Linked DNA regions of Anolis sagrei. The protein of the gene in region 3 interacts with the protein of the main gene of each other region in a pairwise test. Links are inferred from orthologs where the notes say so. Each region holds a gene or a part of one and is shown on either strand. Other genes may lie near its edges.

Region 1 (7,385 bases), on a different chromosome or scaffold from region 3:
GGCCTTTTGTTCACAAATTAAAACCTTTTTGTGGAACTAGAACTTTCTTGATTACTTATAATAGGCAACGACCAGAGAACTACTGGTAATATACATCTCTGAATGTTATTCAGACTTGGTAATGCTGCTATACAACCTAATGAAGACAGAGTTCCTAATAGTTTAGTACAACTGTTTTTATGGGTAACCCCAGTGGACTGAAGTTCATTGAATTTTAATAGTATATATAGAAAGCATAAACTACCTTATGCTTTCTATGCCTTCTTAGTTTAACTTGTAACCTGTGGGATGTTATCATGTTAAATGTGTGTGATGTGCTAGATTATGTTTATTAAAGTTTTTAATTTAGGTTATTTTTTGGTTTAGTTTATAGGCTTATACTGAAATTGTTTTGTCTACTGTCTTTGATTTTATCTCGTTTGTCTGTTTTTGGTATTAAATGTTTGCCATTTTGCTACTTGTTGGAAACTGCCCTCAGTCCCCTCGGGGAGACAGGGTGGGTTACAAATAAAGTATTATTATTACTAATTTGTTATTTATGGTTTATGTAGGGGCAATGTGTTTATTTGGTTTAGTAAAAGTAAAGGTTTCCCCTGACATTAAATCTAGTCGTGTCCAACTCTGGGGGATGGTGCTCATCTTCATTTCTAAGAAGAAGAGCCAGTATTGTCCGTAGACATCTACAAGGTCATGTGGCCAGCATGACTGGCTGGAGTGTCATTACCTTCCCGCATAAGCGGTACTTATTAACTCACTTTTGCATATTTTTGAACTGCTAGGCTGACAGAGGCTTCTCCTGACATTAAGTCTATTCATGTCCGACTCTGGGACATGATGGTCATCTCCATTTCTAAGCCGAAGAGCCGGCGTTGTCCGTAAACACCTTCTAGGTCATGTGGCCAGCATGACGGCATGGAGCGCTGTTACCTTCCCACAGAAGCGGTACTTTTTCATTAACTCACATTTGCATGTTTTTGAACTGCTAGGCTGGCAGAAGCTGGGCCTAACAACTGTACATCACTTTGAGTCCTACCCATGGGAGAAAAGCAGGATAAAAATTAATACATGATTATGATTATGATTATTATTGTGCATAGAATATATATGAGTGCAGTGGGTTAAACTGCTGAGCTGCTGAGCTTGTTGACTGAAAGGTCGCAGGTTCAAATCTAGGGAGCAGCATGAGCTCCCACTGTCAGCCTCAGCTTCTGCCAACCTAGCAGTTCAAAAACATGCAAGTGTGAGTAGATCAACAGGTACTGCTCCAGCGGGACAGTAACAGCGTTACATGCAGTCATGCTGGCCACATGACCTTGGAGGCTTTTTTTTTTAAAATCGTGTCAGGACCGACCTGAGAAACTGCAAGTCGCTCCTGTTGTGAGAGAATTGGCCGTCTGCAAGGACATTGCCCAGGGGATACCCGGATGATTTGATGTTTTTATCATCCTTGTGGGAGGCTTCTCTCACGTCCCCGCATGAGGAGCTGGAGCTGATAGAGGGAGCTCATCCGCCTCTCCCCGGATTCGAACCTGTGACCTGTGACCTTCAGTCCTGCCGGCACAGAGCTTTAACCCACTGCGCCACCAGGGGCTCTTGGAGGACACCTTGGAGGTGTCTACAGACAATGCCGGCTCTTCGGCTTAGAAATGAGCACCAACCCCCAAAGTCGGATCCGACTGGACTTAACGTCAGGGGACAACCTTACCTTTACCTTAGAACATATGTATATATATATAAACACCCATATTACAATATATGTGGATGTATGCTGGTATGTAACAAAAGAGAAAGTGTATTGTCGAAGGCTTTCATGACCGGAATCACTGGGTTGTGTAGGTTTTGTGGGCTATAGGGCCATGTTCTAGAGCACGGGTCCTCAAACTAAGGCCTTAGGTCATTTACCCGGCCCTCGCTCAGGGTCAACCTAAGTCTGAGATGACTTGAAAGCACACAACAACAACAATCCTATCTCATCAGCCAAAAGTAGGATCACGCTTCCCATTGAAATACTAATAAGCTTATATTTGTTAACATTATTCTTCATTTTAATTATTGTATTGTTTTAAAGTATTTTTTGCACTACAAATAAAATATGTGGAGTGTGCATAGTAATTCATTCTTTTTTTCCCAAATTATAACCTGGCCCTCCAACAGTTTGAATGATTGTGACCTGGCCCTCTGCTTAAAAAGTTCTAGAGGCATTCATAGAATCAAAGAGTTGGAAGAGACCTCATGGGCCATCCAGTCCAACCCCCTGCCAAGAAGCAGGAATATTGCATTCAAATCACCCCTGACAGATGGCCATCCAGCCTCTGTTTAAAAGCTTCCAAAGAAGGAGCCTCCACCACACTCCGGGGCAGAGAGTTCCACTGCTGAACGGCTCTCACAGTCAGGAAGTTCTTCCACATGTTCAGATGGAATCTCCTCTCTTGTAGTTTGAAGCCATTGTTTCAAACTACAAGAGAGGAGATTCTCTCCTGACTTTTCGCCTGCATCTATGGCAAGCATCCTCAGAGGTTGTGAGGTCTGACAACCTCTGAGGATGGTTGCCATAGATGCAGACGAAACGTCAGGAGAGAATGCTTCTAGAACATGGCCATATAGCCCGAAAAACCTACAACAACCAAAACCTCGCCTCAGGCAGCAAAATGCCTTGGGCTCTGGAATGAATTCCTATTGCGAATGACAGCAGATCCCTGCCATCAACTTGGATAGCTTTGTGGGGTTGTCTTCAGTCCACAGTGAAAGAGGGAAGGGCAGCCCTCCCTTTACCCCCCAAGGCCTCGTTTTACCCCGCCATGTTTACTTGAGAGGAAGCTCAGTCTATCCCAACAGAGGAAAGAGTGCGCATGCGCAGTAGCGCTCACCTCCTGACTTTCTTCCTCACTTACCTGCCCGGCTGCTGCAATAGGTCCTGGAACTGGCCCGTCGACGTTGCTTCCACCAGGGCTCCGGCACTGCTTCCTCCTCCGCCTCCGCCTCCGCCTCCTTCTGCTGCCATGGCTGGTGTTGCTCTCCGCGCCGCCGCCAAGAAGAGAAGCAGGGAGGCGCTAAGGACACTACCAGGCTCCCAGCCTATCGCCGGCACGCCACGCATGCGCCGTAGCTTCGCCTCTCCCGCCTCCTCCCTTTTTGAATCTCGCTTTCACCCTCGAGAACGGAGGATGAAAGATCGCGCATGCGCACTGGGGTAAAGTGAAGCCTTGCCTTGGAAGCAGTGATTCCCAAACGCCAGTAATGTTTACCTATGATCCTGTTGCTTACTGTTTCCTGTATGTATGTTCCGGTATGCAGCTTCCTTTACTCTATGGTTCCTGAGAGGTTGCAAAAGGGGCTGCAGACCACATGCTCTCTCTCTCTTTGACTATAACTGTTTTATTATAAGAGAAATGTCCTGCACAGGACACCATGTCAAACATATCTGAACCTGGACTGATACGTTTTGTACCTGTGTATGCTGAACACATGAAGGTTGTGAGTAAACCAAATATGTTTATTTATTTATTTATTTATTTACATTATTTCTATCCAATTCCAGGGAGCGGCGTGAGCTTCCGCTGTCAGCCCTAGCTTCTGCCAACCTAGCAGTTCGAAAACATGCAAATGTGAGTAGATCAATAGGTACCGCTCTGGCGGGAAGGTAACGGCGCTCCATGTGGTCATGCTGGCCACATGACCTTGGAGGTGTCTATGGACAACGCTGGCTCTTCGGCTTAGAAATGGAGATGAGTTCCAGGGTGGCAAACCAGACACTCTACACATCAACACTGACAAAGAAACAGCAAGAAACACTGTTTACCCACAAGCATAAAGAAATTACATATATTAGAAACCAAAACTTCCTCATTACTTTATTTTCCAGATCAACAGACTGGGCCACAGCAATGTGTGGCAGGGGACAGCTAGTTAAACATAAAGGACAGTGCATAATAACAATTTAAAAAAGAACTATGTCCTCTCGTTCAAATCCTCATCCGTTACATTGTCTTGGCCGTTGCTGGGTCCTTTTCCAACTCTAGTTTGTCTATTTATTCTGGGGTTCCGAATGCTTGCTCGAAGAGCCAAGTTTTTCCTCTTTTTTGGAAAGTTAGGAGGGAGGAGGCTGATCTAATATCCCAAGGCAGGGAGTTCCGCAGCCGAGGGGCCACCACAGAGAAGGCCCTGTCTCTCGTCCCCGCCAGACGTGCTTGCGAGGCAGGAGGGATCGAGAGCAGGGGCTCCTCAGACTATCTTAAGTTCCTGGAGGGTTTGTAGGAAGAGATGCGTTCAGATAGATAAGCTGGGCCGGAACCGTTTAGGGCTTTTTAGGCTAAAGCCAGCATTTTGAATTGAGCCCAGTAGCAAACTGGCAGCCAATGGAGCTTATCAAAGTCTATTTCATTTTTTTTAATTAGAATTTTATTAATTTTTATGTAGATTACAACGAAAGAGTGAGAGCAATAAAGTATAGGAAAGTGAGGAAATAAAGAAAAAAAGGAGAAAAAAGAAGAAACAAAAAAATATATACTAAAATCCCAAACAACCCCTAAAAAAAATAAAAAAGGGAAAAAAATAAAAAAAATCTACAAAAATACACAAAAAAAGAAAAAAACTGACTTCCATTCCATCTTCTTGGATCATATCTTCTTATTATTCAAAAATATAAAATAAGTTCAAAAAGAAATTATCTCTCTTGTTTCTTATTTTCCCAAATTATCCAGATATTCATGGAGATTATCCCAATTCGTTCTTCTTAGTATCATACCTGTATTTTTCTTCAACAAAAAAGTCAATTCATCCATGTCCTTTATTTCTCTGATTTTTTCCACCCATTCCTGTACGGGTGGTACTGAGTCTTTCTTCCATTCTCTAGCAAAGTCTATTTCATTTTTGTCTCTTGAGTGCATGATATAAAACAAAATGTTTTGTGGGAGAGTATATACATTTTGGGGTAACTGAAAAACACTTCTAAAGCTCTGCAGTTTTAATGCATTGGCATAATTCAAAGTGCTGGCCTTGGCCTAGTTATTTATTATTATTTATTTCCTAAATGGCCCCGGCCCAGTTATTTATTATTATTTATTTCCGCTATTTCTAACCCATCCCTTCTCTACCCCCGAAGGGGGACTTAGGACGGATTACATTAGGCAACAGTTCGATGCCGCTTCATATAAACAATTAAAATAATACAACACAATTTAAATATATAAAGAATTAATTAATACAGTACATAAACATTAATTAAAACAATAATACAATATCATCAGCTGTATTGTCATTCTAGTCAATTTGCAACCAAAGTGCTAATTAAGTCTGCTGTCCGAAAGCCTGGTCCCACAACTACAATTTCACTTTCTTCCTGAAAGCCAGGAGGGATGAGTCCGTTCTTATCTCCTTTGGAAGCGCGTTCCACAGGCAGGGAGCCACCACCAAGAAGGCTCTATCTCTCGTCCCAGCCAAACCAGTTTGCAATGTAAGCGGGAGCGAGAGTAGGGTCTCCCCGGATTATCTTAAATTAAGAGGTGGGACATAGAGGCAGATGTGTTTGGACATGTAAGCTGGACCAGAACAGTATAGAGCTTTATAGGTCAAAACCAGCACTTTGAATTGAGCTTAGAAGTGGACCGGCAGCCAGTGGAGCAGACATAAGAGGGGGGTGGTATGCTCCCTGTATGTCACTCCAGTTAGTAATCTGGCTTCTGCCCGCTGGACTAGCTGAAGTTTCTGAACCGTCTTCAAAGGCAGCCCCACATAGTGCGCATTGCAGTAATTTATTCAGGATGTAACCAGAGCATGTACGACCATGGCCAGATCAGACTTCCCAAGGTACGTGTGCAGCTGGCACACAAGTTTTAACTGTGCAAAAGCTCCCCTAGCCACTGCCGAAACCCGGGGTTCCAGGCTCAGCGATTAATCCAGGAGCTTTTTGATTTTGTGGTGGTCCTGTACCCCTAACCAGAGTGAATATGGAGGACTGGCTGTAATGCTATTTCACTCCACTGTTTTTAGGACATCTCTGACCAGGCTACTTAAGCCATTACACATCCTTATTTGGGTTTTAAGACGTTAATGAGCCCATTCAAGAACTGAACACAAACCTGATGCCACCAAACATTAAGGATCATCTGGCCAAGTGGATGGATCTCTGTTGCAGTTGTGGAAAGAATATTGCTTCCTAAAATAAATATCCTCCCTAGTCTCTTATATCAACTACAACTGTTTGGGAGAATTTAAAACCTCTCACTTTAATAAGCTCCACAAGACCTTTTCAAGGTTCATTTGGTAGGCAAAAAACAAGAATTGTCATTAAAAATGTATAGGCCCGCCGAGACTTGGGAGAACTAAATCTCCCTAATGTTAGGCTATATTTCTGGGCATCCCATATGGAATATCTGGCAGCAGGGTCCCTGAGAAACCGAGGGCTTCAGTAGCTCCAGATTGAACAACAGGCAGCCGGCCAAATTAATCTGGCAAACCTCCCAGACAGTATAATCCTCCCAACGCTAAGCCAGAACAAGCCCTGCTGAAAGCAAAGGGGCAACAGCAAGCACAGCTCTTTGAGTATGAAAATTGGAGTTTCCAGATGTACAGATACATGCGCCCCAAGTTAAAAGAAACTTGATTGCCTGATTAAAGAAGCCATATCCAAGCCTAGGTGAAAACACATTAAGAGGTATGCAATATCCTATGGACCGCACGGCCCATCACTTGCCGTCTTATTATGGAGTGACTTACTAATGAGTCGTCCAATCAGCATTCCAGGGATTAGTCATTTGTATCTGCGGTTGATGGTCCTTGACTGCATCATCGAAATTTATCTCACCTGTAAAAGCTGGAAAAGTGTAGGGTTGCAAATTGTTTATGGAGATCCCACATTATGGGAGGAAAACTGCAGGAGGGGAATTATTGAATCGGGTAAGAAACGTTCCTGACGAACACCGTTTTTATTTCATTGTGTTCATGGGAGAAATTCCCCCATTAAAAATTAACACAGTTAAACAGAACTCTGTACTCCCTCTGGAGCCACTATTTGTGCCTGAAAGAGGAAAATAGGATTTACTTCTTTAAGGTTTCTGGCTTTAAAAAGCCCATTCTTCCTTACCCACAGATCGTCAAAGTCATCACAATGGACAGAGGACAAGAAATTGTTGAAAATGCATGATAGAGCTAAATGAATTCAAGGCAAAGAGGAGGTTAAATTTTATACATAAATTTTATCTCTCCATTTTGTATAATAAAATACATAAAAATGTAACCACATGTCTACAAAGAATACTTCAAAACCTCCCACCTCCCCCTGCCATAACATACTGTATTCCAGAACTGGGAAATTGTAGTACTATTGGGAATATCAGCACTGTTTATTATGTATTAATTTGGGTTGGGGAGTTCATAGACATAGGTAT
Region 2 (7,900 bases), on a different chromosome or scaffold from region 3:
AAGGCAGCTGCCTCCATAGTGCTGTTGGTGGAAGGGATTGGGGTGGTGTTAGAGTTTCTTTTTTATTTTGGAGACTTGAGCATCCAAGAATGGTATAGCTGTAGGGTCCTGGGACCAATCCCCAAGGATATGAAGGCCAAACTGCACAATTTTAATAGCAGGATTGTATCTAAACAAACTTTCATTTTATATTGATGATGAATGACTAAATGTAATGCTACTCTAATAATTCAGAGTTCTATTCTATTCCCATCTTTGCACAAGTATCAAATACATTATTTAGAGTTGCACTAAAGGTATTATAAAGCACACACACAACAGCAATAAAAGCCAGCAAGCAAATAATATGAGTTAAAAAGCAACAAAAACACAAATGCAATGTTTATTTGAAAAAATAATAGAGGGTTATCGACATAGTGCATAGATGGGCAACTTGAAAATCCAGCTGCAATTTTTAAATGCTACTTAATCTCAATCTCTTTATCCCACTCATTTTGCTGCTCTTCCACTTGTTCTTCCAAGTCCTGCCAAAAACACCAGCCCCTCACAGCATTTCCCACCATCTGACCATAATTGGGGGTGGGGGTGGACTGGATGGTCCTTGTGGTCTTTTACAACTCTGTGATTCCATGAAGGCTCTCCTTTTGCTGCCTGGTTGAACTCTTTCCCCAATGAGTCACCTCCTCTTCTCTCTCTTTCTCCTGCAGGATTTTGAATCAATTTCCCAACAATCAACCTCCTCACCTCACTCCTTCCACTGTCTGTGGAAAAGGGGATTAAATTAAATTTTAGCAGCAGGAGGAGAAAAGATCTTTGGTAGTGGTACTTGAGTTTTTGTAGTGGGAAGATGCAGAATGGAGTGAGGGGGTGGTGTTGCTGGCAGGACATGAAACACCAGGTGAAGGGGAAGTAGGAGTGAAATGAAGCAGGTGGATTGTTTTGGATGAGGCTTTGTAATGGGAAGGGACTGCTGGACTAGGGCTGTTGTAGGAAAAAGTCGGTAGCATATGTGTTGGGGAGGGACTTATTATATTCATGGCTTTCCACTTTTGCAGAAGTCCTGGGCCCCTAACACACACAAATTGGAGGGGGGGGGGAGACGCAACTGTAAAATGAAACAACAAACGAAACCTTTGCTTCCATTTATGCAGGTTACTGCATAAGAACTTCCACAATTCACTGTGATTCCAATACACGAAGTATTTCTGGTACTAGTCATTCCACTGTTTTAGTTGCTGCTAGTAAAACATGCAAGCATTTGTGGAATGCCCTCCTTCATCTTTTTCTGCTAATGATATACTGGATATAGTGTAAAGGCTCAGAAGCACTCAAAGCAAAGCAAAATATGTAAAAACATGTGACACACTCATTTTCTTATACATCAGTAGTGTATTTAGTACTTATGCTCAATATGCACACATACATATGTTCTTCTTCAGTAAATAAAAGGTGTTCATCACCCACTTATTTATATAAGCACAGAAGCAGACATATTTAATCATATTATCTCATACCTTAATATAGCCACTAAGAAAATCCTTGCGGGGGGAAGGGAGGAGAGAAACACTGACATTTAATAATAATATTTCCTAGATGCACAAATAATGTAAAGCACAATCCTGTATCTATTATTTACATCTGTAAACCAAGGGAATAAAATACTGTTTATGGCTGAATAGAGTAAATGGATATTTCAATCAAGCCAATTCAAACACAGGTTCTGTCTCCATGTAATTTGTAACATGGTAAGAAATTATGCACCATATCTTTTGCTGGAAAATCGTATCTTTTCAATAAGTACATTTGGACACAATGACTAACTAGCTGCCTTGGAATGACTCAACATGCCATTTATGTTTTGATTATTCTAATATCTCAATCAGCATTATAGTCTCTGAAAGAAGTTTTTGAAAGGGGGGCGCTACAGCAGGGAGCAGAGATTTCTTTCCCCCTTTTGATCTATAGGCAGAAACAGTTATGTCAATGGATATCTCCCACTACATTCTGGACATTATCTCTAAAAATTCATATTACTTCTGAAATTTGCATTCAAAGATATTTGTAGTCATGGCATATTTTTAGACATGGCTGTAAATTAGCATATGTAGGAACTGTATATCTTACTAGTGACATTGATAATAATACTTTTATTCTTATACTCTGCCACCATCTCCCTGAAGGCAATCGAGGTGGCTTACATATGTTCATAATACATAAAAGCAAAACAAACAAACAAAACCCCCAAAAAACAATCCCCCCAAAAAAACATAAAAGTAAAAGCAACCCACAAAACAAAATACCTTAAAATAAAAACTAAAATAAAAACATTGAGGAGTATTCTTCATAGGGACCTTGGTGGGATAATAACATCAAGAGGGTTTTTTTTTGTGCAGTTATATATATATATACATTTTGTTTTTATACAGTGCTTTAAAATGAAGTTCCATCAAGACAACCGAAACTTACTCATGATCAGTGTATATAGCTGATCTGGAAGAAGTGATTTAAGCTATGCTACATAGGATTGCACTTCCCTTGAAAATTCAGTCTTACAGTTGCTTTTTAATTAATCCTTCTGCCTCAGTTTTGAATGCTCAGTTAACAGCCACACCAAGGAGTGCTTTAGTCTGGTATGTCATCCCATTCTCTATTAAATTGCAAGTTTACTTTTCAGTTATTATGGAATAAGCAGGAATGTCCTTAAATGCACATTTCTGGCTGAGAATTTAGCAGAATTAGGTTTGTTCCTCTTACAGCTTTCCCTCTCAACTCATTTCATCTCCTCTTCTCTACCTTTTCCATTTTTCTCCATCATGTAATTACCTCTACATCATGATCAAAGTCAAGTTGAAGTGAAAAGAATATTCCACTCTCACTCCAATTGTTTTGTTTTTTGAAAGAGGATTCTATATCAGCACCTTCTATATCAGGCATGGGCAAACTTTGGTCGTTCAGGTGTTTTGGACTTCAACTCCCACAATTTTAAGGACTGAAGTCCAAAACACCTGGAAGACCAAAGTTTGCCAAAGGACTGTTCTATATCCACAGTATCATCCTACCAGACAGAGACCATTCTGTGGGCATTAGTTTTTTTCTGCCCAGCAAGCAACTGAATAAGCAGCAGCCAGTATAAGGAATAGAAGCAACGTCTTAAGAAATTTATATATATATTATATATATATATGTATAAAAGATGTTAGTTCTTCTAATTAGTTTTGGTGATGTCAGATAGGACTGAATATCATCCCTATATGTGGGACACAAGGCTAGGAAAACTAACTTCAATACTCATTTTTTTTTCATGTTCTGAGCAGAATAAAAATACAAAAGCATTAGCGAACACTATGTTATTGGCATATGAATGGAAAGACAGAAAAAACTACAGATCCTTGTAGAAGTATCTGAGAAAGAAACGCTCACCACACCCAAACACCCCAAGTACATTGCAGACAATATAAAATCACTCCTACATGAAAAGATTTTTCCCAGCACATTCTGAAACAGTACAGGGCAGAAGGAGACAGCAAACGTGAAATATTTTTTCAGAGGAGTATCCTAAGGAACGAGTAAATTCTGGCGAGCATTTCAAGCATTAATGTGTGGCTAAACTACACTGTTACTGAGCAATCTAACAAATACACTAAATCTCTACCCATATGAAATCTTTATTTAAAAAATAAATTCCTCCACTTCCACTTTGTTCGCCACCTTTCTGCCTCCTCATCCGTCTCGTCTCCCATTTCAGTGTGTTTCCCAACAAGCTGCTTCAAAACATGACTTGTGGGAGCCAAGTTACCAGAGGAGAGCGAGGGGAGGGAGGGAGGGGGGAAAAGACTTCCATTATAAACCAAGGAAGGCGTCTCTTGCAAGAGTCAGAAGCTCGCCATTTAAACCCTATCACGTGCCCAACCTTCTAGGGACTGGGACTGGGACCTCCCCCCCCCCCCCCCCAAGTCCATAAAACGACCCGGAATCCACGCCATGCGAACCCCTCGCTAGTGGGAATCCCTTTACACAGAGGCCCAGTGGTCCTGGGTTAATTTACCCGGGTGGGGTTGGGGGGGGGGCGCTGTTGCGGGTCAATCGCAGACTCTGTAACGGGGAGGGAGGCTCTGCGTCGGGCCAAAAAGCGGCCTCTAGGAGACCAGCCCCGCCCCTTCGCCCTGGGATGGCGGCGGCTCCCGAGTCCTGTGATTCCCCCCTCACCCCGCCCGCCTGCCTGGCTCGCAGCTATTTCAGGAGAAACAAGCTGAAGGGAAGCTTTACTCACAGCCAACACCGCTAACTTGCTGGGACAGTCGGCTCCCCCCATTTCCCACTAATGGGCCCGCCCGTTTTCAAAGCCTCGCGTCTGGGCTGGGCCGAACCAAAAGGACACGCGGGGGGGGGGAGCGGGGTGAAATGGGACAATCGGCTGTGAAGCAAGACTCCCCCCATTTCCCCCTAATGGGCCCGCCTGTTTTCAAAGCCTAGCGTTTGGGCTGGACCGAACCAAAAGGACACGCGGGGGGTGGGAGGAGGGTTGCGATTCCTTTCCCCTACCAAACTCCCCACAAACATACATACATACATACAAGCAGACATACACCGGCAAGGGAAAGGGAGGCCCAGTCAAAATAAAAAGCAGCATAATATTCCTCCCAGGAGGGAAAGAAGCCGCCCGGGAGGAGGCCGGAGGGCGCAGACTCACCGCCGGCTGCGTGCCGTCCCCTCCCTGCCCTTCCCGGGCTCCTCCTGGCGGCCGCCGCCCTCGCTTGCCCCGGGGGATCCGCCCGCGCCCCGCTCGGCTCCCTCCGCCTCAGGACGGTGTCGCAAGATGGCGGCACTTCCGGGAGAGACCATTCCAAGGCGGAGGGAGGGGGGCGTGTAAACAGGAAGGTGAGAGGGAGAGTCCGTGCTGGGCGCGCGAGGGAGGGAAAGAAGCCGCCCCCCTCTCCCAACGCACCAATGGGCGCGCCCGGCTCTCCCCTGAGGCGCGGCGGTTCGCCTTCCATCTCCGCGGAGGTTGAGGCTGTTCTCGGCGGGGCCGCGAGGATGAGGGCGGCGGCCGCGGGATGAGCTCGCCAGGCGGCCCTCCTCCTCCTCCTCCTCCTCCGCCGCTTCCCCTCTCGCTGCGACGATGGCGTGAAGCCGCGGGCGAGCTGGCCATGGTGCTCCGGAGCGCGCTGGGCCCCGGCGCCGCCCGGCTCCTCTTCTACCCGACGCTGCTCTACACGCTGGCCAGGGAGCGCGTGCCCGGCTCGCAGAGGCCCTGGTTCAGCCGCATCGACCACGCCGTCCTCCTCGGCGCCCTGCCGCTCAGGGGACGCTGCCGGCAGGTAAACCGGGCCCCGAAGGAGAAGGCCACGACGACGACGACGGGGGGGAGGTGGGGACACCGCGGGGTCCTGGAACCCACGCCACCTTCCCCAGGGAGAGAGAACGCAGCCCCCCAATTTCCCCACCCGCTCTCCCAAACTTGTGGGAGCAGCAGGCCGAAAAGCCGAACTTTTCTCAGGATGCAACTTGACAGTTTTATAGATTTATAGTTAACCTACAGTCAAAGAGCATTCTGAACTCCACCAATGATGGAATTGAACCAAGCTTGGCACACAGAACTCCCACGACTAAGAGAAAACACTGGAAGGGTTTGGTGGACATCAGCCTCGAGTTTTGGAGTTGTAGTTCACCTATATCTAGAGAGCACTGTGGACTCAAAACAATGGTGGATTTGGACCAAACTTGGCACAAATACTCAATTATGCCCAAATGTGAATACTGGTGGATTTGGGGGGAAATAGACCTTGACATTTGGGAGTTATAGTTGCTGGAATTTATAGTTTGTTGTTGTTCATTCGTTCAGTCGTCTCCGACTCTTCGTGACCTCATGGACCAGCCCACGCCAGAGCTCCCTGTCGGCCGTCACCACCCCCAGCTCCTTCAAGGTCAGTCCAGTCACTTCAAGGATGCCATCCATCCATCTTGCCCTTGGTCGGCCCCTCTTCCTTTTGCCTTCCACTTTCCCCAGCATAATTGTCTTCTCTAGGCTTTGCTGTCTCCTCATGATGTGGCCAAAGTACTTCAACTTTGTCTCTAGTATCCTTCCCTCCAATGAGCAGCCGGGCTTTATTTCCTGGAGGAAGGACTGGTTGGATCTTCTCGCAGTCCAAGGCACTCTCAGAACTTTCCTCCAACACCACAGCTCAAAAGCATCGATCTTTCTTCGCTCAGCCTTCCCTAAGGTCCAGCTCTCACAACCGTAGGTGACTACATGGAATACCATGGCTTTGACTAGGCGGATCTTTGTTGCCAGTCTGATGTCTCTACTCTTTACGATTTTATCGAGACTGGACATTGCTCTCCTCCCAAGAAGTAAGCGTCTTCTGATTTCCTGGCCACAGTCTGCATCTGCAGTAATCTTTGCGCCTAGGAATACAAAGTCTGTCACGGCCTCCACATTTTCTCCCTCTATTTTCCAGTTGTCAGTCATTTATAGTTTACCTACTATCAAAGAGCGTTCTGAACTCCACCAACAATAGAATTAGGACAAACTTCCCACACAGCATTCCCATGCTTTGAAGGGTCTCACAGCATTCCCATGCTTTGAAGGGTCTCACGGCAGTCTCACACACTCTCCCTTGCCCACACATGCGCACCACGCTGCCATGCGCCAAGCATGCCTGCTCTCCCCTCCTGCCTTGAGTCTCAAAAACAGCCCTCCCCTTGTCTGAGAGGCCAGCCAATCACAGTAGAGGAAAGCTTTTGGTGGGAGGTGTTTCCAAAAAGAAAAAGGACAGGCAGAGAGATCTTCACCCTTTTCTACCAAAGGGGTTCTTAAGACCATCAGAAATATGTTTTCTGATTGTCTGGCGGCCTCTCTGAAACCTTCTTGCAACCCCCTCGGGGGTCCCGACCCTCATGTTGAGAAACGCTGATCTAGACATTCAACACATTGCTTTTGAGTGGTAGTTATAATTCAATTTAAATTTGTGCCATTCCATATGTTGCTTTTTATAGAATACCAGTGTTTATTATGATTTCTATTAAAATAATGGATTTCTAAGTTTATTTCTGTGCCATTTGCCTGCCAATTTAAATTGAACAGATGTTTATAGTTGGCATCGAAGGAAAACTACTGGCAGCTGTTTGAGGAGACCGAACTAGATAGATGTTTTTTGAAAAGGGTATATGGCTATGCATTTGTTTTTGTTTTTTCTTGTAGCTGGTAGACAAAGAAAATGTTCGGGGAGTGGTCACCATGAATGAAGAGTATGAGACTCGCTTCCTGTGTTGCTCTCCCCAGGTGAGTCCCACCCAATTTCAGTGTTCCCAGAGAAGTGAAGATGAAAATGACAGCCACTAAAGGAAATGGAAATATAGATATACATACAGGTATACACACATATAAACATTATTTTGACAGGAAGGAATACAAGATCATAGAAATTTGAATGAGAATTGCTTACAATTCAGCCTGATCTGTTTCCACAAAGGCTATGGGAGAATGCTTCTTGTTTGAAGTCTTAATTTGTGACATTATTCTGTTACATCTTAACGGCAAGGATGGTATGACCCAAGGGCTGCATATGGCTCAGGGTCATTCTTACAGCCTAAAGGCACTCTCTAGGCTGAAAAGGGGAAATCATCAGCCCTGAAAGCTTTAAGCTGCAATTCTTAGTCAAGGTCTAGTATCATGCTTTCATGTGTTCAGTAGGAATTCAATTGTTGCTTTGTTTCCATTTTGGAAAAGGAAAAACTACATTAGATGTGCAGCCCTCTCAAGTTCATTGGTCTTCACTTCCCCCTTCCGCAATGAACTTGAGATGGACTTTAAGAAGCTTCCTTTCACTTTCTTTCTGAAGGCCAGGAAATAAAATCATGTGTTTTAAATACGTAACATTACTACCACTCAAGTTCCCAC
Region 3 (8,035 bases):
CCAGGAAATTTTGTTACATTGTAAAAAATGCTCTGAACCAATGAATTATTTATGCATTTTCCAAAAGTTTCGGAGGGTGCTCTTTCGATTTGTAATTTGTAATTACCAAATCATACGAATCTCCTTATTTACGAAACTACCTCCAAAATTTTGCACATCTCTATTTTTTCTACTTTTAAACTGGAACTCCCCATATCAGCATGGCCAGTGAAAGAATTTTGGAAGCTGCAGTCTAACATGGTAGTAGGCCACTTTCCCCACCTATAAACAGAACACCAACAGTACTATCCAATAATGAAACAGCTTCTTCCTTAGAATCTTGGAATTGTTTCCTCAAACTTCTTTTCTTGCAGCAAGAGCATAAAGGTGGTTCTTAATTTTTCTTAGTGATGTATGGTCTCGCAATCCAGTGGTCTTGGCAGAAATAAATAGTAGTGGATAAAAAGGAGCCATAGAACACTTTATGCACTCAAAGCCACTGTAGAATTATCTTTACAAATAAGAATTCAAAGCCAGAGTTGCAAAAAAATAAGTGATCAATAACATTTAAGGAATACAATACAATAGTTTTTTTAAAAAAAATAACATTTAGGTGGCTTCAAAGGCCCAATTTTTCCTTTATTTTTTGTAAAGCAAATGAAAGATCACATGTTTATATTTCTGAAAATTGCAGTTATATGGTATACTTGTACTACTTGACCTTTACCATTTTTAACTGGCTTTTATTGCATTTCCTCTTCAGTATTAGCTGCTAGAAAAGAAAGAGAATGGAATCCCCTGAAAACAAAGAATAAGCAAAAGGTCAAGATAACATAATATATCCATGTAATTCACAGAACTTACTTGACATTAAAAAAAGAAACCAAAAATACGGCTAAAGTTCAAATCCTTGTATATAGATGGCAAAATTTAAAAGTTTAACAAATTCAGATTAATTATTTCTTAATTCAATTTTATTGTAACCGTTAGAGTGGAAAGCATTCAGATAATTATTAGTTGAGAAGCTCTTGTGGCCCTTCCACACAGCCATATAACCCAGAATATCAAGGCAGAAAATCTCACAATATCTGCTTTGAACTGGGTTATCTGAATCCACACTGTCACATATTCTTTCCAGTTCAAGCAGAAAATGACCTCACTACCTTTGAGGATGCTTGCCATAGATGCAAGCGAAACGCCAGGAGAGAATGCCTCTAGAACATGACCATATAGCCCAAAAAAACCTACAACAATCCAGAAAATGTTGGATTTTATTCAGTGTGTGAAAGAGGCCTTGGGATTCTAGGTACTGAGGTTTCAAACCATTGAGCTTGTTGTCAAACCACAACTCTTATTTTCCAAGACTTTAAAAAAACTTTCACTATTTTGGAGCATCAGAGGTCGGGAGCAGACTGGTCCTTTTGTGGCATCACAATGTGATGCCTGAGGGCCCTTCCACACAGCCATATAACCCAGAATATTGAGAAAGAAAAACCCACAATATTTGCTTTGAACTAGGTTATCTGAGCACACTGCCAGTTCAAAACAGATAGTGTGGAATTTTTATTCAGCTGTGTGGAAGGGGTCCCAGACAACTGCCTCCCACTTCCTAATGATAGGACTGGCTCTGATCTCAAAACTCTACATGTATGCATGGTCTCTTCTGTGCATACATATATGCCATAGACCAGGCCCGTGGCGAGGGGGGGGGGTTTAGGGGTTCAACCCCCCCCTCCCCCCGAAGTTTTTCAGGTTAAAAAAAAATCTGGTTTACTCATTAATTTTAACAGGTTTACTAATGAATTTGGTTAACTGGTTAACTTCCCCGCCCTCCATAGACCAGCACCCGGTGCGCCTCTGCTGCTGCCATCTCTGCCTCTCCTTTCCCCTCTCTCTCTTCTCTGAAGCAGCGCGGGGAGGGGCGTTCCTCCAGCTAGCCAATCGCCTTCGGCCTTGCGCCCCTTCCCAGCCTGATTGACAGGAGCAGGCGAAGAAGGCAGAGCCGGCCAAGGAGAGCCTGTCTCTTAAAGGGAACGCTCGTGATTCAATATATTTATTGTCTAGGGGCACCCTTAGAAAGGCATATATAGAGGGAACGCTCGTGATTCAATATATATATATATATATATATATATATATATATTGAATCACGAGCGTTCCCTTTATATATGCCTTTCTAAGGGTGCCCCTAGACTTGTAGAATTGCTGCAGCTTGACATCCCTTTAAACTGAGCATTATGGGAGTTGTAGTTTTGCAAGGTCTTCAGCATGCACCACACTACAACTTACCAGAATTCCTTAGCGTTATTTATTTATCGTGCCAGGGAACCGAACAGTTGTGTTACATTATTTACAGAACAAACAAACAAACAAACAAACATACATACAAAAGACAGAGTTTGCAAGCTTGGTAGTTGATTAAATGTCCTTTAACCAGTAGCTGGCCACTTGGAGTGCCTCTGGTGTTGCCACAAGGAGGTCCTCCATTGTGTATGTGGCAGGGCTCAGGTTGCATTGCAGCAGGTGGTTTGTAGTTTGCTCTTCTCCGCACTCACATGTTGTGGATTCCACTTTGTAGCCCCATTTCTGAAGGTTGGCTCTGCATCTCGTGGTGCCAGAGCGCAGTCTGTTCAGCACCTTCCAAGTCACCCAGTCTTCTGTGTGCCCAGGGGGGAGTCCCTCATTTGGTATCAGCCATCGATTGAGGCTCTGGGTTTGAGCTTGGCAGGTTTGGACTCTCGCTTGCTGAGGTGTTCCAGCGAGTGTCTCTGTAGATCTACGAAAACTATTTCTAGATTTAAGTCGTTGACATGCTGGCTGACACCCAAACAAGGGATGAGCTGGAGATGTCTCTGCCTTGGTCCTTTCACTATTGGCTGCTACTTCCCGGCAGATGTCAGGTGGTGCAATACCGGCTAAGCAGTGTAATTTCTCCAGTGGTTTAGGGTGCAGACACCCCATGATAATGGGGCATGTCTCATTAAGGGCCACATCTACTGTTTTAGTGTGGTGAGATGTGTTCCACACCGGGCATGCGTACTCAGCAGCAGAGTAGCACAGTGCAAGGGCAGATGTCTTCACTATATCTGGTTGTGATCCCCAGGTTGTGCCAGTCAGCTTTTGTATGATGTTGTTTCTAGCACCCACTTTTTGCTTGATGTTCAGGCAGTGCTTCTTGTAGGTCAGAGCACGGTCCAGAGTGACACCCATGTACTTGGGTGTGCTGCAATGCTCTAGTGAGATTCCTTCCCAGGTGATCCTCAGAGCTCGGGATGCTTGTCTGTTTTTTGACATGGAAGGCACATGTCTGTGTTTTAGATGGATTAGGGATAAGTTGGTTTTCCCTGTAATAGGCAGTTAGAGCACCTAGAGCTTCGGAGAGCTTGTGTTCAACCATCTCAAAGCTCCCTGCTTGAGCAGTAATGGCACGATCATCAGCATAGATGAAACTTTCTGTCCCTTCTGGCATTGGTTTATCCCCATGCTAAGTCTATGAGACGCAAAAAATTAAGAGTCCCTCCCTGCAAGCACTATCTCAAGCAAATATTGACAATTTATTCACACTGTCATTACTTGCAGCAATAGCCGATGTAGCAAAGCAACCATGTTGGGGGGGGGGTGTTGAATGCTCTCACTAAGGAGGCCAGACTTGGTGGAGGTGGTTGACAGGGGCGGAGCTGCAGGCTATTGAAGGCTGTTCTGCCCCCCCCCCCCCCCCCCGCTGTGCTCTTTGCTTCAGCGTGACCTAAGAGGCAGGTTTCAACTCTCCCCCCTCCCAAATTTTTAACCCCCCCCCCCGAAATTTTCAAAACTCCCCCCCCCCCCAAATGTTCAACCCTCCCCGAAATTTTTTTCTGGCTACGGTCCTGCCATAGACAGCTTTAGCACATACACTTTGGTGGAACAGAGATATGAAAGCATATATTTATAACATGTAAGTCCCTCCTATGTAGTATTAAAGAGGCTCACCCATTGTTGTGCCTTCGAATCATAGAGTTGGACGAGACCTCGTGGGCCATCCAGCCCAACCACCTGCCAATTTGATACCCTCCAGATGTGCTGAGACAACAACACATTCATCTGGAAACAACATATATTTCAGGACACCTCCAAGGGGACAGGCTGGAGAAAACTCATCTATCTGTTTGATTAATTGATATCTCTTCTGTGGAAGATAATTGTGGGAGAGTTGTAGTTTTGGGGAATTTCTCATGTTTGAAATACCCATTCAATAAGTTCAGGAAGGTGGTATTCTCTATTCACGAGACCAGGGGCCCAATTTTAAGGCCATCCACTTTTAAAGTCAATCACCACCATCCCTGTCAAACTGGGACAGTCAGAAGACATATTATCCCAAGCCGCCCACCCACCCAGTTTCCAACTATTTGCACAAGTGGTGTAACGTTTAGTTGGACTCTGTTTCTTAGTTTGGCTCTCTTTTTGCACACTGGCTCTCATACAATACAATATATAATAATGCTCAAATGTAATAATTCATTCTCAAAAGCTGAGCAAACAGGGATTTTACAGCATGAGACAAAATCTATGAAAGACTCTTTGCAGTAATTGGATTAAAGCAAGAAAGCACAGAGTGAAACCGAAGGGCACCAATTTGTCACAAATATAATTATGGAAGTATTGCTGACAGACCGAAGTGGCCATATGATTAAGAGGGCTTAATGAATGAATCGGTGATAGCAATTTAACCTCCAGTTTTTATTCTGTATTCTGCTCTCACAAATGATGAATGTATGCAATACAATGTTGAACGCAACCAGTTAATCAGGTCTTATTGAAAGAAATAGATGCCTTTTCTGCTATTCAAGAGAAAATCAGAGAGTTCCTAGTAATCCACCTGAAATCTGTGGAAGTGATTGCTTCTTCTGCTAATATGGAATTTTCATTTAGATTCAAAGGATTAGTGAAACACCATCTGCTCAATCAACTGACAAATACCACTGGTCTAAATTGAACTGTGTCATCCTCTGCCTAATCCAGTCTGTCCCAGGCTATATGTAAACCCCAGTTAATTATACCGTGAATCTTGACACTCCGCACTAATTGCAAGAGCTATTTGAAGTTTAAATGTCTTTCTAGAGGCTTCATCTGAGATTCGACAGTCAAACAGCAAATTTTGTAATAATCTTGATCTCAAACATGCACTCAAGATTTAGGTACAAAGCTGGAGTAAAGAACGAATACTTTGTGGACTAAAAAAAGGAACTGCTACATGGAGATCATCCTGCTTGCCATCACAAGAATAAGCAGTGCAAGAAAGATCAAGCAATCTTCTGGAGATGAGAGTCGCATCCTTGTTCCCTTGTTACAAAGGGAAAATAATCTTATTATTAATCTTTCAGTGTCCAGGTTTAAGGTGGATTTCTTTAAGGCTGGTGCCATTTTTCAAAGATAGCTGACTGTGGAACTGGATTCAGAAACATGCCTTTTTATGACCTGTCAGTATGGAGGCAATGGCTATTTTCCTTTAGGACTCAAAGTGCAAGTGTGGAAAATGAAAATACTCCTAAGAAAGCTGAGGTGTTTTTCAAGGTAAGAAAAAAATACTAAAAATAGAATGAAAATAAAATTATTGCCTCATAGAAAATCCATTTGTTAAGTGTGAGTACAATGCCATTTTTATTGTCCAAGATGTGAACTGTAATACAAGTGAGTAGAAACATTATTGCAAAAACCATAACTTGTAGTTGAGGTCCTGTGCCCAAAAATAGATAGATAGTTGATCAATGGAGACTTCAGCCCACTATGAGATAGTTTCAGTAGTGCTACTTCAGTTTTGTTCATCTTGTTTTTCATGGCCTTAGTTTGACTCAAATTCTGTCTGCATATGGAGTTAGTTATTAGAGCAAGCACTAAATACCATATATGTATCACAAGGATGTCCTCTTGTTATGTATGCCATAGTTAAGATGTTGCTGCATCCAGTTCCTGATCTGTACAGTCACAAAACTATATTGATCTCTACACTTTCAGAAAAGCTACAGTGCTCAAACTATAAATGTAATTGTACAGGTTTAGCATGTTGTTATATGATCGTCAGGTGATGAGAAAGGGGTCTGCTGCACTTATTTTTTTATTTTGCGGGGAGAGAGAGCACCACACATTTCTTGTATTTTTGTTGTTGCTTTGCAAATAATAATCGATACTAGAGAAGGGAGAAAGTAGCTAATCTGCAACTCAAGGATCCTGACACAGACCCTGTATCCTTATTGTTGATGTTTGCCTTTAAGTCATATCTGGCTTACGGCTGTCCTAAGGTGAACCTATAATGAGGTTTTCTGAAGCTAAGTGTGTGGAACTTGCCCAAGGTTACCCAATGAGTTTTCATGGCCGAGTGATGATTTGAACTAGTAGAAGTACTAACTTTACTACCAGCCTGTTCTCCAGAATTATAATCCAACTCTCAAACTACTATGCTGTACTTCAGAATCAATGTTCAGTACCTGCTGTCCCTTTCTCTGGTTCCAAATTTATTATTTTGATCTCCACCCGAGTTAGAGGTGACTTGGCCACTCAGAAATCACGTAATTTCTTTTTCTCCCACTGAAGCTCTAGTACAATGTAAACTAGGCAAAGCAAAGTGATGGATCCATCTACATAAAAAGGAACAAGGGCCAGGAAGGGAAAAAATGGAATGTGGCTGCAGTTTTTAAGACTAATGGCTATTGAGGATATAAACCCCACTTTTTTCAAATGGGTTACAAATGATATTAAAGAGTGAGGTTATAAAGAATATTTATTCAGTTGTAGGATGGGATGCAATGGAAGCCAGAAAAATATGAATGTTATAACCAAACTATAGGCTGTCCATGATATCAGAACTAACTCTATTGAACAGTGACAGCCTGGCTGAAGGTCGAACCAAATCCTGCCTCATGAATGGAATTTAAACCGACGATTTATGCTAGCAGGCCTCTAGTCGTCTGCAGCTGTAGGGTGCTTCCACATTATAAAATTCCTGTATCTTGACATCACTTTAACTGTGAGGGCTCAATGCTATGGAATCCTGGGATGTGTAGTTTGGTGGTGCAACACTACTCGTTGGTAGAGAAGACTAAAGACCTTGTAAAACTACAAGTCCCATGATTCCATGGTATTGAGCTGTAGCAGTTAAGATGATGTCAAACTGCAGGAATGTTATAGTATGGATGCACCTTCAGTGGTAGTAGTAGTAGGAGTACTAACTTTACTACCGTCTCAAGAATGGAAAATGGAAGGTTGGTGGACAGGAAAAGAGATTTAAAGATAGGCTTAAAGCCTAACCTACCTTTAAAACTGTGGAATAGACACCAAGAACTGGGAAGCCCTGGCCCTTTAGCGTTCTAACTAGAGGGCAGCTGTTACCAACAGTGCTGTGGAATTTGAAAAGATACAAATGAAGGGTGAAAGGGAGAAACATGTCAAGCCAACCCTTGTTGGGACCACCTTCCATCTGGAAATCAATGTTCTCAGTGTGAAAGAACATGCAGATCAAGAATATGCCTCTACAGTCACCTACAGATCCACTGCCAAGACCCTACATTTGCAAGGCAATCATAGCCACGAGGGATCACCTATGATGCTGCTGCTGATGAGTAGTAGAAGTAGTAGTGCTAGTACAGAGCACCCCAAAGTGATTTGTATATGTTTTCTAAGGGGAACTATATGTAGTCTTCCCCAAGCTTTTCATCCATATACACATAAGCACTTTTCTTAAAATTGACCCAACAACCCCCTGCCCTTTTATATATTTTTTTTTCAAAATATAGGATCCAGTTCAAAGAAGCTAATTTCAAAAATGAGAACAATAAATCCCCAGCTTTGTATGACTTGGCATTGCTGATTTTGTTATATTGCTGCAGAACTAGATAAGGAAAAACAGCACAGAATAGCTGTAGCATATTTGTTTTTCAGTAAGCAGCCTCCTGCCACCTGAGCATTCACTAACATTGTTTCAGCTCAAAATCTATTTATTTGTTTCATTTTACATCACAAACCTAATATCAGGCCCTGAAGTCTATTCTTTTGCTGTCTCTCGGTTCCTACACAGAAACATTTT
Region 4 (8,058 bases), on a different chromosome or scaffold from region 3:
AACTGCATTATATGGAAAATATAGTATAGACCCATATAATGCAGCTCAAACTACATTATACGAGTCTACACTGACCATATAATACAGCTCAAACGGCATGATATGGCCAGTATTGTATAGACCCATATAATGCAGTTCAAACTATATTATTCGAGTGTACACTGACCATATAATGCGGTTCAAACTATATTATTCGAGTGTACACTGACCATATAATGCGGTTCAAACTGCATTTTATGGCCAGTATAGTGTAGACAAATATAATGCAGCTCAAACTACATTATACACTGAACATATAACACAGTTCAAACTGCATTATATGGCCAGTTTAGTATAGACCCATATAATGCAATTCAAATTACATTATTGGAGTCTACACTGAGCATATAATGCAGCTCAAACTGCATTATTTGACAGTATAGACACAGCTTTATGGGATTCCCTTCGCAGCACAGATGGGGGCTGTGTGTTTTATTTTACACAGACAAGGCAGTCTTTCTCTTCGTTTGGGAGGGTTGAAAGAACAAAAGAATTACTCGAGACATGGCTTATGCTTGAAATAGATTTCCTCTCGCTATTCCAAGTACCTCAACTTATATTGATCTCTCCCCCCTCCCAATTAAAAAAAATCCCAATACACCCCCTCCTCAATTCGGAGATAGGAAGGCAAAGTCTATTGTTAGGTGCATGAAAATGCGTCCAGAACAACAAGGCAACAAAGGAGGATGTGGGGACGTGTTGCAGGTCTATCTGGAGCTTCCAGTTGGGAGCAAAACTTTGCTTGCTCCGCCATCTCCAGAGGCACCAGCCTCAGCTCCCCCCCCCAACCCTTTCTCTTCTCTCCTGCTCTATCTACCCCCCCCCCCCCGCCTCTACATCTCGATGTGTCCCCCCTCCTTGCATTGTGGTGAGCGGAGAGGATTGTGTAGGCCTCGGAATGCAAAGCGCTGGGCCACAGACAGTCTAACAAAAGGGAAAGATGTCTTCGGAACAATGGCGGAGAAACGAGGGAAAGTGGTGGAGGGGCTGGCGATGGCAGGCCTGGAGAGGGGGGAAGAGAAGGTTTGGAGGGGAAAAGATGGCCTGAATAGATAGATAACGAAAGAAACTAGGTCGGGAGGCAAAGAAGGAGATGATATATAATTATAGAGGAAGATGGAAAGAAGCTGCAGTAAGAGCAGGCCCATTCATGAATGTGAGGCAACACACTGGTAAATCTGCTTTAAGAGAAAGGTAAAGGTTTTCCCCTGACATTAAGTCCAGTCGTGTCCGACTCTGGGGGTTGGTGCTCATCTCCATTTCTAAGCCGAAGAGCCGGCGTTGTCCGTAGACACCTCCAAGGTCATGTGGCCTGCATGACTGCATGGAGCGCCCTTACCTTCCTGCCAGAGCTGTACCTATTGATCTACTCACATTTGCATGTTTTCGAACTGCTAGGTTGGCAGAAGCTGGGGCTGACAGTGGGAGCTCATTTTCTATTGCTTTAGCCAGAACTAATAACAAAAATTCAGATTCCAGAGTGTTAAGGTGGGTGAAATGCGATGTCTAGCCTTTCCCCTTTTTTTCTTAACGTCCCCTTTGGCCCAAAATCTCCAAACAAAACATCAAACGCGATTGATTTTAGCCCATGTGTTAATTTTCTCTTCCTGGCCTAGCATGAAACAACATTTCACTCCAAATCCAGCTTCTGAACTGCATGAAAAGTTGTGCTTATTCTTTCCCAGTGCTCTGGATGTTTCTACCAATGACATGGCGAGGAGGCAGGGACCAGGGGAACCAAGGAGACCATTGAGAAATGGGGCACTCTGTCAAGCTCCTCCTTCAGTCAACAGAGCCATGGAGAATCCGTGCTTTCTTGCTGTTTTTTTTCTGTCTGAGAGCAAAATCTGAGCACTGGGTGCAGGCAGGGGCTTTCAGCCAAAATTGAGTATTTTCCCCCTTAAAATCCCATCTGCTACAAACTGGAGTTTAGCTCTACCAAATAAATAAGGGAGACTTACTTCCTGTAAACATCCAGGAGAATGCTTGTGCCCAGATCCTATATATCAGGCCTAGACCAACTTGGGCCCTCCAGGTGTTTTGGACTTCAACTCCCACCATTCCCACCATTCCTAACCATTCCTAATAGCCTCAGGCCCCTTCGCTTAAGCGGCTGAGGGGGGAAAGGAAGGGGCCTGAGGCTGTTAGGAATGGTGGGAGTTGAAGTCCAAAACACCTGGAGGGCCCAAGTTGGCCCTGGTCTGAATTATATATACTTGACTGAATCTTGATTTTGATTGATAGGGATCCAAACCTGAAACCACTTCAGGAAACAGCCCCAATCTGGATTGGTAGCTTGGAGAACTACTGAGTGGCCGAATGCGCATGCGCAGATGCCTTTACGCGCAGACCGGCACGTACACGCATGCTCCAATGGATGGAACATCCCAGCAAACAACCCTCCATACAACAATGTCAACTTGCTCTTCGGGTTCATTTCAACTTTGCCCTAGGAATACACTATGCAAAATAAGAGCCTTTGCTAAACTAAACCTTGCAATTTTCGCCTCTCTCTCCAGGCAAAGTTCTCCAAGAAGCAGAGCTTACTCCTCACTGTATCCCTTGTCTCCTCTCCAGTCAAACCACCAGGAACCTTATCCCTCGCCCCCATGTTATGTCCTTTAGGCTCACCTTGCTTTTCAGATTTCAGATTTAACTTGAATGCTAAGCTCCCCCTCCGCATGCTTCGATAGGCCATATCTTTTTTCCATCTTTTTATGTGTAAACAGTAGGTCCCTGTGTTGTTGAAGGCTTTTGTTGCCAGAATCTCTGGGTTGCTGTGAGTTTTCCGGGCTGTATGGCTATCTCTCATGTTTCTGGAACATGTCAATGAGCCGGGGAAACTCACAGCAACCCAATAGGACCCTGTTTTCCCTTTCAGCAAGTTCCTAACCCATAGAAAGCCACCTTTCTTTAGACTCCTTTCAGGTCCGTAGCCAGGATTTTGATGCGGGGGTGGGTGGAGTGGGGCTCAGTTTGATTGGGGGGGGGGGCTGAGTTTGATGGGGGCTGGGGGAGTTGAGGATCTACCCTAGCAAACCTTTTGTATCATTATCCCAATACCCCCATGCATATGGGATATATTGAGCATGGTGATCAGATATGAATAAACATAACAGTTTAAATAATGTACCAGTAAGGCCTTCTCGCAGACCACCCTGAGAATTTCGGGGGGGGGGGGGGGCTGAAGCCCCTAAAGCCCCCTCCCCCCTTACATGCTTCCTCCTTTGATTTCAGTGAGTGAAATGGGGGACTTTCACACTGGGAAAAGACAGAGCTGGGAAACAATTACCAGGGGAACTACTGAGGCTGCTTCCAACGTCCCAGCATTGAATAACACAATCCCCAAATCTAGGGAACCTTTGATTTCAGTGCCTGGCGTCCACGAAGCCCCACCGAAGGGAAACAGTTCTCAAGTGACCAAAGGAAGCCCCCCCCCCTTCCATTGTTAAGTCTCCTCCCCCTAATTTCTAAGTCTGTCATCCAGTGTTGGTGTTTTCAGTCACAAATACCCTTTTAATGGGTTGTTGTGTGTTTTCCGGACTGCATAGCCACGTTCTAGAAGCATTCTCTTCTGACGTTTTGCCTCCATCTATGGCAGGCATCCTCAGAGGTTGTGAGGCCTGAGGATGCCTGCTATAGATGCAGGCAAAACGTCAGGAGAGAATGCTTCCGGAACGCGGCCATACAGCCCTGAAAACACACAACAACACAGCTTCTCGTTCTCTGTATCATTAGCCATTGGTTTGCAATGGGTAGACTGCAAGGCTGCAATTTGCTATGTCCCCTATCCCAACGAGAGGAAAATACATGTGCTTTAAACAGTCCTCACAACCTTTTAGGATGCCTGCCACAGATGCAGGCGAAACGTCAGGAGAGAATGCTTCTGGAACGTGGCTACACAGCCCGGGAAACACACAACAACCCAGTGATTCTGGCCATGAAAGCCTTAGACAATACAATACCCTTTTAGTTTCCAAACAGTGCATATGAGAGGGCAGGAAAGGACGTAGAGCCAGGCAGAGGCAGTTCCTGAGAGAGGCAGAAGGAAGGAGGGAAGAGGGAGGAGAGGAAGGAAGAGAGAAGGAGAAAAAGGCAGGGAGGAGCAGAGAAAGGCAGAGTTTGCACAGGCGCACTGAGGGCTCTGCAAACGCGGGCCGGGGAACCAGCTGCCTTGGCAACCCTTTGTAAGCACTTCCTCCAGCAGCCAAGCGGAGACGGATCGCTTCAAAGGCGGAGAGATGGGGGGAATGGAGAAACCTTGACTCCAAACCCACCCCACTGTCTCGCAGAGCCCCCCCCCCCAAACATCCAGCCCTCCGCCCGCAAAGGCACAATGGCGTTGCTTGCTTCATTCCCATGCAAATCATCCTTCCCTCGAGGAGGCTGGACCTACCAGCCCCGTTTTAACTCTTGCTCTGCGGAGGCGCCCGGGGTTTGGTTGGTGCCCCGCCGGAGATCACATCCATCCCCCACGGACCCCTTTCTTTCTCCTATTGACCCATTCACGCACCCACTGCTGGGTCCTTCTCCTCCATCTCCTTCCTTAGGTCTTGGTGCTAGAACCAGATCTGGTGCTGTCTGGGAAGAGAGAGAAGGAGGCGAGGCTGGCCCTCTACCGCCCCCACGCCTGGCTTCCTGGGCTTACCTGCTTGGCCGGGCTCTCCCCGCTCTGTCCCTCCCGCGGCGGGCGGGCGAGGATGGTCTCTCAGGCAGGGCGCCTGGGCTGGCTCTCCAAGCAGCCCAAGGCATTGACTGAGGATGGGCGAGGAGGAGGAGGAGGAGGAGGAAGAGGAGGAGGGGGGAGCGAGGGAGGTGTTGGCTGCGCGTCACCTTGACGGAGCAGCGCTCGGAATTTAAATGCCACCGCCAGGGCGATCCATCAAACAGGAAGGGACCGGGCCACGCTGGCAGGAGGCGCCGCTATTGGCTGCCGCCCTCACGTGGCCGCCTCCCGACTGTACATTCATATCATTTTTCTCCGGGGCCCCCATGGAGGAAGTGGGGAAGTTGGCACGGGCACCCGGGACTCCCAGCAGCCGGTGATAGATGGACTAGATGGACGCGGCGAGGATGAGTTCCTTCCTCGATTACCCGCCCATCCTCAACGGAGGAGAGCCCGCCACTTGCTCCCCCCGCGCCTACCACCACCACCATCATCCCCACCACCACCACCGCCACCACCACCCCGAGCATGGGGCCACCGCTAGCACCACCTTCCCGTCCTGCGCGGTCAGTGCCAACGGCTGCAACGGGGACGAGCGCTTCCTGGTGTCCCGAGGGGTGCCGCTCAGCCCCCATGCCCACCACCAGCCGGGCCCCGCCTACCAGCCTCACCCCGGCCTGGGCATGTCCTACCCGCACCCGGGCTACGGGGCACAGGGCTTCGGCGCCGGGGGCTACGGGCCCCACTACCCGCTGAGCCCCGAGGCAGAGGTGAACGCCGGGTACCCCCAGTGCGCGCCCGGCCTCTACTCCGGGAACGTCTCCTCCTCGCCCTCGGTGGTGCCCCACCCGGCGCAGGGCTACGCGGGGGCCGCGGTGGGCTCGGCCCCCTACCTCCAGCCCCCCTATGGAGAAGAGCAGCAGGGACTGCCCTTGACCAGCTATGGACACCCCTTGTCCCCTCTCCAGTCCAGCCACCAGGAACCCTGCGGCTCCCCCTCAGCTTCCGAGACCTCTCCTCCGGCCCAGACTTTCGACTGGATGAAAGTGAAGAGGAACCCACCCAAAACAGGTGAGTCACCGTCCCCATTAGTCGGGCTGGAAAGACATGAGAGAAGGATCCCATAGGATGGTAAAATATCCTCTGCAGACGGCCCATTCTCTCACACGATTTAAAAAGTCGGGCTGGAAAAGTTGGAAGTGCCAAACTTTCTTCTGCTCTTTCTTTCATTATTTCGAAATAGACCACTAGCCACCAGACCAGACCCAAATAGACTGAAGAAGAATTAGAGTTGGGTTCCTGAAGCTGGGCGATTAGCTTGCAAGGGGGACATGTTCTGATTTGGGGTTCTAATTGAAAGACAACTATTTTGGAAAGGGGATTTATCCTCCCATCAACTGCTCTTGGGGCTTCGAATTGAAATACTCAACTTTGAGGTCCATAGGTGTTTATTTATTCCTTCCACGAGGGTGGTAAAACATTAAACATCCGGGAGTTTCCTGGCTAACGTCCTTGCAGACGGCCAATTTTTTTTCACACCAGAAGCAACGTGCTGTTTCTCAAGTCATTCCCTTTGGGGTCCTAACAGCAACCAATTCTCTGGTGTCCTATCATCTCAAGAAGTTAGTCTCAGTATAAGTGGGGAGTCTTTGAGCAAACAAAGTCAGAACTGGCCCAGAAAGTTTCTTTCAAGGTGACAGGTATAAAGGCCTTGTCTCTTAATACCTGTCACCTAGAGCTTTGAGGAGCCCGGGGTAGTGCAATGGGTGGCACAATGGGTTCGAATCTGGGGAGAGGGCTGAGCTCCCTCTGTCAGCTCCAGCTCTTCATGCGGGGACATGAGAGAAGCCTCCCATGAGGATGGTAAAACATCAAACATCCTGGTGTCCCCTAGGCAACGTCCTTGTAGACAGCCAATTCTCTCACACCAGAAGCGACTTGCAGTTTCTCAAGTCGCTCCTGACACAAAAAAGAAAAAGAAACCTTGCATCTTGTGGTGTCCACCCTCCCCTTTGCTGGCAGGACTGAAGACTGACAGGTCTCAAATTCGAATCTGGGGAAAGCGCGGATGAGCTCCCTCTGTCAGCTCCAGCTCCCCATGTGAGGACAAAAGAGAAGCCTCCCAGAAGGATGGTAAAACATCAAAACATCCGGGCATCCCCTGGGCAACGTCCTCGCAGACGGCCAGTTCTCTCACACCAGTAGCGACTTGCAGTTTCTCAAGTCGCCCCTGACACAGAAAAGAAAAAGAAACCTTGCGCCTTGTGGTGTTCACCCTCCCCTTTGCGGATTGCGGTTGCCTTATTGTTCTTGTTGTCTTTTTTTCTTTTTCTCCAGGGAAAGCGGGCGAGTACGGCTACGTGGGTCAGCCCAACACGGTCCGAACCAACTTCACCACCAAGCAGTTGACGGAACTGGAGAAAGAGTTCCACTTCAACAAATACCTGACCCGGGCCCGGAGGGTGGAGATCGCGGCCTCTTTGCAACTCAACGAGACCCAGGTCAAGATCTGGTTCCAGAACCGCAGGATGAAGCAGAAGAAGCGGGAGAAAGAGGGCTTGCTGCCCATTTCGCCGGCCACCCCGACCGGAAGTGAGGACAAAGCGGAGGAGTCTTCGGAGAAGTCCAGCCCATCCCCGTGCACCCCCTCCCCGGCCTCCTCTACCTCAGACACTCTGGCTACCTCCCATTGAACTAAACGGGACCCACTCCCCAATCCTCGAAGGCACAATCCTTGCGTCGTTTTTTTTCTAGATTGGGTTCAGAAAGGCTTTAAACAAAAAAACTATACATTTCCTCCCTCCGGGTAGTTTTATGTCTCCACTGGCACTAAGATGTCAGAGGGGGGAACCAACCCCGCGAGATCCTGAACTTCTTCACTCTGGAAGCCAATCCCCTTGATTTCAGAGGACTTTCTTCCCCCTCCCCCTACAAATCGGTACAACGTTTAATCTCTTCCCAAAACCAAGGAAGAGAGCCAGAGTTGTGCAGTGAGCCTTTCACCACGATTTTAGAGACCAAGGCTGGATCAAGGAAACCCACAGGGTGACCTTGGGCGAGTCACACTCTCTCAGCCCTAGAAAAAAAGGCACATAACAAGGACAACTAACAACTGCAACAGCCAAGGAAAGTAATGTGGTGAGGCTTAGTTAGAGACTAACTGGAACCTCATTGATTTCAGTAGGATTTCGTTAGGATTGGTTTACTACCTTTGAATAAGTTCGGTAATGGGTATCCACAATCCCCTTTATTATTATTATTATTAGACTAAATTTCCTTCCTCAATTTTTAAATTCGGTTTCATCTCCCCCTGGCGCAATGGGTGACAGGTATGAGTTTCGAATCTGGGGAGA

The links.
Region 1: the proteins of RGS20 (region 3) and GLRX3 interact in binary tests that used the Homo sapiens proteins (3 or more experiments, as listed by UniProt). The link is inferred for Anolis sagrei from reciprocal best matches to the Homo sapiens genes RGS20 and GLRX3.
Region 2: the proteins of RGS20 (region 3) and PTPMT1 interact in binary tests that used the Homo sapiens proteins (3 or more experiments, as listed by UniProt). The two-hybrid records come from large-scale screens. The link is inferred for Anolis sagrei from reciprocal best matches to the Homo sapiens genes RGS20 and PTPMT1.
Region 4: the proteins of RGS20 (region 3) and HOXA1 interact in binary tests that used the Homo sapiens proteins (3 or more experiments, as listed by UniProt). The two-hybrid records come from large-scale screens. The link is inferred for Anolis sagrei from reciprocal best matches to the Homo sapiens genes RGS20 and HOXA1.

What each region holds. Positions count from the first base shown.
Region 1 is NC_090023.1:193,040,617-193,048,001, forward strand, and holds the start of GLRX3 (glutaredoxin-3), read right to left. Parts: upstream 3,118-7,385; 5' UTR 3,098-3,117; coding exon 2,892-3,097; intron 1-2,891. UniProt on the Homo sapiens protein: Together with BOLA2, acts as a cytosolic iron-sulfur (Fe-S) cluster assembly factor that facilitates [2Fe-2S] cluster insertion into a subset of cytosolic proteins.
Region 2 is NC_090021.1:280,294,927-280,302,826, forward strand, and holds the start of PTPMT1 (phosphatidylglycerophosphatase and protein-tyrosine phosphatase 1), read left to right. Parts: upstream 1-4,894; 5' UTR 4,895-5,054; coding exon 5,055-5,318; intron 5,319-7,201; coding exon 7,202-7,282; intron 7,283-7,900. UniProt on the Homo sapiens protein: Lipid phosphatase which dephosphorylates phosphatidylglycerophosphate (PGP) to phosphatidylglycerol (PG).
Region 3 is NC_090024.1:50,769,508-50,777,542, reverse strand, and holds the start of RGS20 (regulator of G-protein signaling 20), read left to right. Parts: upstream 1-4,964; 5' UTR 4,965-5,418; coding exon 5,419-5,529; intron 5,530-8,035. UniProt on the Homo sapiens protein: Inhibits signal transduction by increasing the GTPase activity of G protein alpha subunits thereby driving them into their inactive GDP-bound form.
Region 4 is NC_090026.1:91,198,443-91,206,500, forward strand, and holds HOXA1 (homeobox protein Hox-A1), read left to right. Parts: upstream 1-4,990; 5' UTR 4,991-5,097; coding exon 5,098-5,776; intron 5,777-7,042; coding exon 7,043-7,398; 3' UTR 7,399-7,980; downstream 7,981-8,058. UniProt on the Homo sapiens protein: Sequence-specific transcription factor. Regulates multiple developmental processes including brainstem, inner and outer ear, abducens nerve and cardiovascular development and morphogenesis as well as cognition and behavior.